Linked DNA regions of Coturnix japonica. The protein of the gene in region 3 interacts with the protein of the main gene of each other region in a biochemical or structural test. Links are inferred from orthologs where the notes say so. Each region holds a gene or a part of one and is shown on either strand. Other genes may lie near its edges. The genes, in order: AKAP1, CDK1 and PRKAR2A.

Region 1 (3,581 bases), on a different chromosome or scaffold from region 3:
CACTGTTTTGTGCTACCCCCTAGGAGTCAGTGCAGTCAGTGCCTTCATTTCTCTTCCTTTCAGAAAGCAGATACAGCTGCTGCCAAAAAATACCTGACCAATTGCAGGGTGCTCTGGTACCAGGTATGGATAAACTACTCACGATTCACATCATTGCTCTGCTTGGCTCCAATAATGAACTTGTCAGCATTTTAAAGAAGCTTTGTCTCTGCACAACAGGATGACTCCCAAGTTTTGAGAGCTTTCAACACACACGTGGGATCAAGCAGCTTCCCAGATCCACAGGGTAAATTCACTGCACCATGTATACAACTGAGTACTGCTGCTCCAACAAAGGCTTTCTAATAGGCAATTCATCACAAGGTTATGGCCAGTTTTCAGCTCTTTCACAGAATTTGAAATGGAAAAAAAAAACCAAACCCAAAACCAGGAGATTTGAAGCTTGACCTTTATGTACCTGCTGAAAAGCCATTGGGGCTGCACCTCACCTGCTTATCCCACTGAGCTCTCTTCCAACTCTACATCCCAAGAGGTCTAGAAATGAAGGCTCTTAGTCATCACAGTTTGATTAAGATGGCTTAAAATTTGAACTTTAATTGAAATGGGAAGAAACATTCCAAAAGGATATATGTATTATAGATTTAACTGATTACCAAATTTAGTTTTCATTGGAAATTATTGCAAATACGAACATTAAATAGTAGAAAATTCAAGAAAGGATAATCATACCATATCAGAAGGGACTGGACCAAATACTTTTGTAGGCAGTTATCCAAATGCATGACATAGGGACACATGGGCTCATTGGATGTAAAGACACCCCTGAATCCACCTGAAAAAACCTGGGAGGCCCTGACTACATAATTTGCCTGGCAAGTATCTTCTCCACCAGCAATAAATCCCAACTCAATACATATCTAAAGTGATAAACATTAGAGGGCATGTGCTTAAGAGTATTAAGTCAGCTTCAATTACTGGGGCAAAAAACAAATGTTTTCAGTTTGTGATACAAATAAATCTAAAAAGGAGAAAAAAAGAAACAAAAACCAAACAAAACCAAAAACCGAAAAACAACAGTGAGAGAGAAAACCACTGCCACACGAATGTCAAATGGGTACTTCTTTCTTTTTTCTCTTTTTTAAACAGGTCTGTACAGAAACATAGCAAAGAATGCAGTGATCACAGCTCAAACCAGACAGCAACCTACGGGAATGCTAATCCTGTGGACAGTACAGCAGAAACACTCCCATCTCCAGATGCTCCAAATACATCGGCTACCCTAATGCACTCCAAACCAGTTCTACCTACAAAGGACATTTTGGTGTGAAAAAGTTTCTGTAAAGTTCCCTTTGTTTCCAGTGTTTTTCTTGTACAAAATATTACAATGTTTTTAATATATATTTACAGACTTGCACAGCTAGAAAAAATACAAATTACAATTAGGCTTGGCAATCGGTTCTTTTCTTTAAATACATAATATTTCAGAGCAAAATTGTAGTGGTAATGTATCCTGCTCTTCAAGCGCTTCTTCCTTAAGCTTATCAAGCATAAAAAGCACGATCGCAGTGAGACGTGTCACAGTATGTGCAACAAATGCAGCTCATCAACCTCCTGGCATCAAGAAGATAAAAGATGAACGCAATTTATGCACGTTAGTGGCACCATATAGAAAACTCCGTAACTGAACATTAAATTCCTGAATAACATTCATTAACTGCACAGGCAGAGCCTGCTTAAAGAATAAAAAGGACAGCAACTGTAACTTCCAGGAAAAGCAGACACCAACTTCATGGGCACTACACATCTCCAACTCAAATGTAGCCACAGCCAACATTCCAGGGGCATTTGGTAGCTTCAAGCAAGCCCCAGGATTTGAAAGGCTTTTGCCTTTTAAGTAGAGGCCAGGGAGAATTTTTTGCCTTAAAGCTACAGTATCTCTCATTATGGCTTTTAACACCCTGCCTTTCACTGAGATGAGGTATGTGTTTCTAGTGAAATGGTAACAGTTGAGCAAAACAGTTTTCAATGGACCACAAAACTCTGCAGGCAGGTGTAAACAGATCTTCCGTAAGAGGTTGCCAAACCGAATTGTAACAGTGCAAAACAGGATTATTTTTTTTTTTCCCTGTTAGGAAAATGTTGTCGAGGCATCCAGGACACCACTAGTAGTTGTCAACCCACTGAGCAAATCCTCTTTCCACAAGAGTTCTGTTTATTGACACCACCTGAAGAAAGAGGAAAAAAAGAATGAAAAAACCACTAACAAGAAAGGCCACGTTCCAAATCAGCACTGTGATGAATCAGAACTGAAACATGTTAAACAACAGCATGGCAGCATACCTCATCTCCCATCATACTCCACAGCTGTATCAGTGGCAGACCTGTTGCACTGTCATAATTCGTGACCTGGAAACAGAAAACAGCAATTTGGTCTCATTCATTATAGGTGCAGAGCTGGTGTAATTCACTGCATGGTACTCAGTTCCTCAACTCACATGCTAGATCAGGGGAATCAGCTGCTGCCACCACACAGCTCAGATAGTGCTGGCAAGTTTACTTTATTTGCTCAAATCTCTGCCCTGGCCAGAATTACTTATGCCTTTGGGCACTGTGTTAAGCCAAAGGAAGCTATAAAGCTATCACAAACACTATCAGGCTTCCCACTCATCTCATTTCAATTAATTTACACTGATAGTTACAGCCACTATGAGAAGCACTTCAAAAGAGGTAAAGTCCCCTTCAGTAAGACCTAGCACCATGCACAGAAGCCTTTGAGCTCCATTAGAATCCCTTCTTCCACTAACCAGCCACAGGCCACATCTTTCTGTGGCAGGAACACTCCAGGCTGGCAGGGCAGCACAGTGCTTCACCTGAACAGTCCGCTTTGGCTCCATAAGCCCATTTATGTATCCATCCTCATCGTCTGCATCAGCTGACAAAAGGGATTCTTGCCCCTTTCTTTGCACAGCTCTTAGAGGCACACAGTCCCGTGCAGTGGTGATGCTATACAAGGTTGCTACACAAGCCTGTTCTCAGGAGCTTAGGCTTCTCAAAAAGAATCTTGCCCGGCAGCCAGGCTTACAGGTTCTAGACTTTCTGATTAACACACACACACACACTATACTAGGGTTAGAGAGGATAACAGTAGCAGTAAAATCATCAGCAAGTCTTTTCCAGACAGCTCTCATGTACCTGCGCCAGCAGTGCTGCCCCTCTGGTCATCTCACTAACAGCAGCATCAGCTTCTGATGAAAAGTGATCCTCATCTTTGGAAAGAAAAGAACAGGAGAAAACAAGTGAGATATTCACAGGCTTTAAAGTCCAGAAGGTACCATTAATCTAATATTGTCTGACCTCCCACATAAGTTAGGCCAGAGAGAATCCTCACCTATTGCTGCTGCAGGCATTTGCTGAAACCAGTCTATTAAGCAGGAGATCACAAGTATTATGCCTGCTGTGTTGCTGAAGGGAGAGGATGAACTGCTTTTCAAAGCCACTAGCTAACTTCACGTGAACATGAGTGGTTGAGGAATGAGGAAGCTTTAAAGACAGAAGTGTTCTTTTGCAGTACCTCTGCCATT
Region 2 (3,750 bases), on a different chromosome or scaffold from region 3:
GTCAAAGTAGAACTAGATTTCTTTACTGTTTGCCTTCATGTTTGTCCTCAGTTTTGCATCTGATTTCACGTTTTGCTTTAAATGGGAGCAGGAATCCAATGGAATCTGTACTGCTCTGTCCATTGAGGGCTCAGTGGTGAGCAGACCACCCGCTGCTATTGCTTCACACAGAGAACTACGTCTCTTCAAACACAAAAGCAAATACAAATGTATCAGCTGCACGCGCACCTGTGTCAAGCAGCACTGTTAGCTATTGCTGGGTCTGCAACAATAATAATGCTGATGCTGCTAGTTAAAAAATTAATTTGGGTTAAGTCTGGAATTTCCTACACTTAAATTTGAAGTGAAAGCTCAATTTTGGCCACCTTCCTATAGTTTGTGGACAAGAGCCAGTCAGTGGCAGTGGTTCTGACCTGTGCTGGTTGCACAGTGCAGCCCCCAAAGCTATTGAGCACACACGGGCTGGCTGTGCTGGCCATGCGGTCAGGCCTGAGGGATGTGTCACTAACACTTTGCTTCAGCTGTGCAGCCAGTCTGTGCGCTGCTGAGCCTGGGCTGTGCTGGATTCATTACACAGGAGAGAGCTTCTCTGTGTGTGTACAAAGCACGTCGGATTCACTACCTACAAACTGTGCTGGATTTGAGGCTGTGCTCCTGCCCAGGGCTTCCCAAAGCGATGCAACAGCTTTGTTCTATGCAGGGAATCTCAGCAAGTGCTGGGAGTGCAAACAAAAACCGAAGGGCACGTGTGGTGCCTGTTTCTCAGGAGCAATAATTCCCCTTGAGGGAGGGCAAAGCGGAGGGTTTATGTTGCTGAAACTGATGTATGCCCAGGGAGGTTGTGGATGCCCCGTCCTTGGAGGTGTTCAAGACCAGGTTGGACAGGGCCCTGGGCAACCTGATCTAGTAAATGTGTGTTTGGTGGCCCTGCCAGGCAGGGGGTTGGAACTACATGATCCTTGAGGTCCCTTCCAACCCGGGTCATTCTGTGATCTGTGATTCTGTATGCTGGAGGGGGACACCTCCACACCAGCAGGTGGCGCTGTGGTGCGGGACGTGCCGCTCTCTCTCTTCTTCCTGGCGCCTTTCCGTGTCGCTTTGGCGCCGCCGGATCGTAGCGCTCCGATTGGTCGCTTTGAATCATCCCGGCGCTGCTCCATTGGTGGGTGGTGGCGGCAGCGCTGAGCGGCGGGTTCGAATCCTCGTCGCCCGCCCCCGGCTGAGCACTGAGCGCCCGCAGCGCGGAGCTGGTGGCGGCGCCGGGCCCGGTTGGCCGTGGTACCGCTACGGGAGCGAGGGGCGCCGGCTTTGAGCGGCCTAGTTGTGAGTGCGGCCGTATCGGCGCATAGGGGGGAGGGTGCAGGCGCTTGGGCCCTTATGGCCGCCCGCACGGTCGGGATGGGGGCTGGGTGCTGGTAGCGGGGTCCGTCCGCTCGGGCCTTCACGGGGAGGGACGGAGCGCCGGGCCCTGGGCTATGGGGGGGCGTTGGGGGCTGCGGGCGGTGCGGGGCTGCCGGCCTCGTGCGCTGCCTGCGGGCGGTTTCCAGGCCGAGGCAGGTTGCCGTTAACGTACGACTGGGAAAGCTCCCAGCTGGGGCCACGTTTCCCTCTTGATTCGGTGTGTATTTGTATGTAGGGATGGCGGGCTTTTTTAGCTGTGTCCCCTAATAAACGCTTCTTCCCTCCTTCCCCCCCCTTTTGAATCATCAAGCTTTTGGGGCTTTGTTTGCATTCAAGGAGCGCCTGTTGAATCTCACGGCTTTTTTGTTGCAGGTGTGCCCACAGCCATGGAGGATTACACCAAGATAGAGAAGATTGGGGAGGGTAAGTAAGCTTGCCTGGAGCTTTGCGAGGTTCTGCAGCTTGGGCTGCCAGCTGTTGTAAGCATTGTGACCTCCTGCTATCCGGAGAACTACTGGCATTCTATGGAGTCTTATATAGATGTAAATGCACTCAGGCTGCCTTTCTTCTGAAGGTGACAGTGTCTGAAACAGCTGCTCTGTGCTGGGAGCCATCTCCCTTCACACTGATGGCCAGTGGTGCACCGTGCCACTGCAGGGCAAAAGCGTTCTGAGTCAGGAAGTCGGCTTTCCTGTTTGGGAAGCTGGAACACATCTATTCTTTTGCAACTGCCCTTCCTTACAAGTTGCTCCTGAAATTGCACTTTGGGTGGCTGTGCTTTTGTTTGGAGCCCCTGGTAGGGAAAAAGTGCTACACAGGTGTTTTTACTGGGGTTCTGTGCTGTTGCTGCTCCCGTCACAGGGTGATACCATGAACCCGTGTGCAGAAGCGCATTTAAAACTATTATGTTGGTTTACTGTAAGGCACCTTAATGTAAAAGAAGGCCCGTGCAGATGTTTGTCACAACCTCCCTTTCACTGGGAGCCCTTCCTTTATCAAAAGTAGAAGTTGGTTCAAATAGTTATTTTTTTCTTTGAGATTTACCACTAGTTCCGATTATATTTTCCGCTGAGGCCCATAGTACTTTTAGCACTACTTTGTCATAAGGATTCTTGCCTATGTAGCAGTTCTTATTTGCAATGACTTATCTGCACCTGAAACCAGTATTTCCTATATGCGTTTCCCTGTTTGTTTGTTCAGGTACCTATGGTGTTGTGTATAAAGGGCGCCACAAAACTACAGGCCAAGTGGTTGCAATGAAGAAAATACGTCTAGAAAGTGAGGAGGAAGGTGTTCCAAGTACTGCTATCCGAGAAATATCTTTATTAAAAGAGCTGCGTCATCCCAATATAGTCTGGTAGGCATACGCTGGTATTTAGCCGTACTCTCTGAAAGGCACCAGGTCTCTTCAGATAAATTATTTTTCCACTGTTCTGGGAAGGAGGCAGTTATTCTGTGTAGTTGCTGCAAAGCAGACGTATTACACTTTAGTCCCAAATCTGGAGAGCAAACTGGTTTTTAATTAAGACTGTCTTCTGCTGCACCTATTCTAAGAATTAAAGAAAAGTATTTCTGTTAATTATTCAGAGTGGTTATTGGAGGAATGGAGACAGTGTGCTTCTGGGAAACTGTTTAAGTCAGCCTCAGAACTTTTTGTTATCGTGGGCTTATTCGTCTGACTTCAGTGTTCTTGGTGTGGGCCTTTGTCACCATGCACTTCCTTACTGTCCCATGGCAGAGCTGTCGGCGCTGCACTATAATGCTTACAGCTGGCACTTCTGATCTGCACCTGAAACTTCCATCAGTGGCTGCCTGATGTGAAGAACTGGTTGTAGTCAATGTCTTCTGTACAAAATACTTGCGCTTTAATGTAGTAAAATACTTTGGATTTAATGTGGCCTGAAATTGGCCAAGGTTCATCCAGGTGGTGTCCCAGTGGATGAATGCATGTATTTAAAAGCCTTTATAATCTATTAAGGATGAAGGAGATGCTTAAAAACCCATACAACTCCTGCTGCATCTAGGAGGTACCTATTCTAATGCAGAGCCCTTAAAGTCTTCCAATGATTCTGCTATAGTAAACCAGATTCAGATGGAAGTTAGGTACTGATACCTTCTTCAGCCTTCCCCTGCCTCATGCTAGGCACAAGGAAACACAAGATTCAGAGGAACCATACAAGGTGTTTGTCTCATATATGTTCAGTTTTCCAAACAACAGTGCAGTTAATCTTTGAAGACTGAGAGAAAGCTTTGTAAGCCTTTCTTATTAGGAACCTAGAAACATCAGCTTGTGTCCCTGTTGAGAAGGGAAACAAGCCAGCGGGTCTGCGTACTTTGCAGTGGAGTTGA
Region 3 (3,650 bases):
AACTAAAAGAAACATATTTTGTATTTCAAAGGCACAGCTGCTTACTGCTCAATGACGTAGAAGTTGTCTCCATCATCCCCTTGATCAATCACATGTTCATGAGGTTTCACCTTCCTCTCAAACATGGCATCAAGGACTTGAGAAAGCTGCTCCTATAAAACAAATGAGGAGAAAAACTTGACCTGGACTTGACCTGGACAGTGAACTGCAACATACATCACACTGCACTATTTTTACTGTACGCAAATGAAAGTAATTTCAATAACAAATTTTGATTTTAACTGTGAAGTATCTCACTTTGTTTAAAGCTTATCAGTCTAAGTCCAATAATGAATACAAAAAGATACTTCCACTACAGAAGAGCCATCACCTCAAATATGTATGCTTAATGCACACTACGGCAATGCCAAAGCACACTGCATGTACCAAGATCTCACCTGGGATAATCATAGAACCACAGAATCATTTGAGACAGAAAGGACCCTAAAGGCCATCAGTCCAACCCTCCTGTAATGACCAGGGACACCCACAGCTCCATCAGGTGCTCAGAGCACATCACGCCTGACCTTGGCTGTCTGCAGTGCTGGGGCACCACCACTTCTCTAGGCAGCCTGTGCCAGTGCCTCACTGCCTTACCATAAAGAACTTTTCCCTTTATATCCAATCTACATCTCCTGTTTCAGTTTGAAACCATTTCCCCTTGTCCTGTTACAACAGACCCTGGTAAAGAGTCTGTCTCCTTCAAAACCTTTCACACCTTCACTGCAATGGACACTCACTGATTTCTATCAGCAATACATAAGTTTCATTATATGCATACCTAAAAACCAGGCAAACTGGGTTTCTCTTGTGAGCTGTGACTAAACTCTTGTAGGCAGCACAGACAAGGAAGTTGTGAAAGTCAAAGCCCACAGCCAGGCAGCACCAACCATACAAGATACTGCTTCTAGCACTCTTGCAAACACAGGCCATCTAGGCTTGGCTCTGGATGGCTCTGGCTCTATATCAACTATATTCCTGCTTTTCATTGAATTTTATTATCACATTTTTAAAAACTCTCCTGGTACTTAAACTAAACTAGGAATTACTGCCTGAAAGCAGTTTGTTCGAATAATTTGTCAAAAAACAATTAAAAATCCTAAAAAAAAATACTTTCTAAAAACACAGGAACTCAGCTGTGTTTTATTTGGAGAATAAGCAGGCAAAGACTTAGATTAAAGAAATGCAACAGAGAGTTCTTCTGTTAATAAGGGACTATGCTCTGTCAGACTCCTGAACTGTAAGGCTTTGTTGTTTAAAGACAAGTACTAAGGATGCTCAGGGATTTTTCTGCTAAGAATAACAATAGTTGCTCTCACCATGAACATTTCAGTCACAGCTCAAATTCTACAAATTCATTTATAAGATATTGTGGAGCAAATACATGGTATTTCATTCCAAGCTTTTAACAGCCAGTTTTCTACACTCCCTGCACTTTAGGTTGAAAAATACATCAGATATGTCACTGGACATGACCATAACTTCTATCTATATTATCACACAGTTAAACTCTGATATTAGTCCAAAACTCAATGTGAATCTTGCCACAAATTATCCAATGGACACTGGCTCCTTTGTATTTCATATCAAGTATTACAACAGCTACTCACACAAGAGTATTTAACACACAAGATATTTAACACAGTAGTTGAGTCTCTGGACCTAAATTCAACACAGTCCACCAACATGCAACCAGCAGAAAAGGAATGAATTTGGCCAAGACATTCAAGTTACATCTACACATTTAACCCTAGAGGGGTTTTACATGTTTTGTTGGTTTTTGTTTTGTGTTTTTTTGGGTTTTTTTTTGCTGTTTCATTTTTTAAAGTTTTACATCACACTCTTTGGAAGTTTAGAAGCAAAAGAACAGACTTGGGGCCTTCATTTGGAAGTGTTCCTCATAATTATTAAAGGACATTAAACAATGAGCAAAAGCAGCTATCGTGCATTTCACAATTCAGTAGGTTCTGTGTGGCCAACCTTGTAAATGAGTCATGTTTTACAACTATACAGAGGATGTTGAAAAGAAATCATCAGGATGAGCAGCAAAAAAATGCGAGTCTCATATCCCACTTATACCCAGTACTAGAAAAGCTCTTCCCTCTCTGCTAAGTGCCCTTTGTCACACTATAATTAACGTACGCAATGCAGTCATCTTTTTCACCACATGCTATCTTAAAGCTTGAGTCTTTAACAGCTGCAGTTATGATTATTTCCACTGCTTCTCTTCCCAGTTGCTTAGAAAGCTTTCCTTGGGAAGCAGTATTTTTCTAATCCCATTTTCTAGGTTCAAATTTGTTTTTTTGAAGTTATCTTTAAATATGAACTGGTTATTAATCACTGGGTTGTTTTGCTGGGAGCCAAGAGATCAGCCTCATCAGTCTGAATGGTGATTGCATTTTGTACATACTAATGGAGCTGAATATTCTTAAACATGTTTCATTGTTTACAGCAGCCAAGAACTGGGAGAAATTCCTAATTTCCAAGGGAAGCTGAGCAGTACTTCTGAAGCCATGAAGTACATACTTCCATTCCTCAGGAAAAGCTCTGATTCAAACCATGAAGCTGTAGGTACCATTGCTGGTGTTACAGCTTTCATTATTTCTGATATATGATACCAAAATTTATTCAATCTGTATTGGAAATATCAGTTCCATACAGATAGAAACAAAAACAGATATAAATTATTCTATGGTTTTTCAGAGGCTGGATGTGATGAACCCCAAAGGTCCATTCCTGAACTGAAGCAAAGAGCAATTAACTTCAGCAATAAGTCTGTAAGATGAGCAGGAACATGGACAATCCCAAACCATGACTTTTACATTCACTTACAGAAATGTTACTGACACACTGCAGATCATAAAAAAGTGAGCAATCTAAAATGAAGCAAATGTAGGCAGTGATGGTAACTGTCAGTCTGACCTGCTTATCTGTACTGTTCATTGATGGCAACCTCTAAACACATGCCCCAAGCCAGTCTGCATGTAATTAAAAATTCATGAACGATCACAATGTAAAAACAGTGTCTGGACTGTTAGATCAAACTACTGAACAGCAATAATTCATGTTTGGATTTCTTTAAATTAATATTACCTGATCTAGATTTTTGAAGAGCAGGATATCTTTGCACGCCTCCTGCAGTCTGCATCGCTGTTCATCGGTTTTTGGATGAACTATCTTTAAAACAAAGTGAAAATAAATAAATGAACTGTCACAACAGCAAAGAAATATTATCGCAAATTAAACCTTCACTTCAGAACAAAAACACAAATACAATGTCAGGTATCGTTGTTTACAGCTCCTTTTTACTGTCTGCACAAGCAGTATTTACATACAAACACATAATGCGAGGCAAAAGAAAATAAAAGAAAAACCCATAAGAAATATATTATTCTGACAATTAACACATGCAAAACAACAGTAAAGAGAGACAAAAAAGAAAAGGATGCCTTTTTTTTTTTTTCCTTCCCTTCTAACCCAGCCACAGATACAGTCAAGGCTGGGGAACCCAGATGAAAAAGTCAAGTTTCCTTCCTGAACTCTGCCTATATTAGTTCCAACACCTTCACTGTTGGCAATTCAGAGAACTTACAACCCATATGAGACGTGTC

The links.
Region 1: the proteins of PRKAR2A (region 3) and AKAP1 form a complex in vitro, tested with the Homo sapiens proteins (2 studies listed by BioGRID, with this or other methods). The link is inferred for Coturnix japonica from reciprocal best matches to the Homo sapiens genes PRKAR2A and AKAP1.
Region 2: the proteins of PRKAR2A (region 3) and CDK1 form a complex in vitro, tested with the Homo sapiens proteins (2 studies listed by BioGRID, with this or other methods). The link is inferred for Coturnix japonica from reciprocal best matches to the Homo sapiens genes PRKAR2A and CDK1.

What each region holds. Positions count from the first base shown.
Region 1 is NC_029534.1:7,711,474-7,715,054, forward strand, and holds the end of AKAP1 (A-kinase anchor protein 1, mitochondrial), read right to left. Parts: intron 3,267-3,581; coding exon 3,193-3,266; intron 2,407-3,192; coding exon 2,341-2,406; intron 2,226-2,340; coding exon 2,163-2,225; 3' UTR 569-2,162; downstream 1-568.
Region 2 is NC_029521.1:6,516,364-6,520,113, forward strand, and holds the start of CDK1 (cyclin-dependent kinase 1), read left to right. Parts: upstream 1-1,149; 5' UTR 1,150-1,323; intron 1,324-1,562; exon of another isoform or gene 1,563-1,618; intron 1,619-1,773; 5' UTR 1,774-1,787; coding exon 1,788-1,824; intron 1,825-2,601; coding exon 2,602-2,758; intron 2,759-3,750. UniProt on the Homo sapiens protein: Plays a key role in the control of the eukaryotic cell cycle by modulating the centrosome cycle as well as mitotic onset; promotes G2-M transition via association with multiple interphase cyclins.
Region 3 is NC_029527.1:9,279,284-9,282,933, reverse strand, and holds part of PRKAR2A (cAMP-dependent protein kinase type II-alpha regulatory subunit), read right to left. Parts: intron 3,217-3,650; coding exon 3,133-3,216; intron 153-3,132; coding exon 46-152; intron 1-45. UniProt on the Homo sapiens protein: Regulatory subunit of the cAMP-dependent protein kinases involved in cAMP signaling in cells. Type II regulatory chains mediate membrane association by binding to anchoring proteins, including the MAP2 kinase.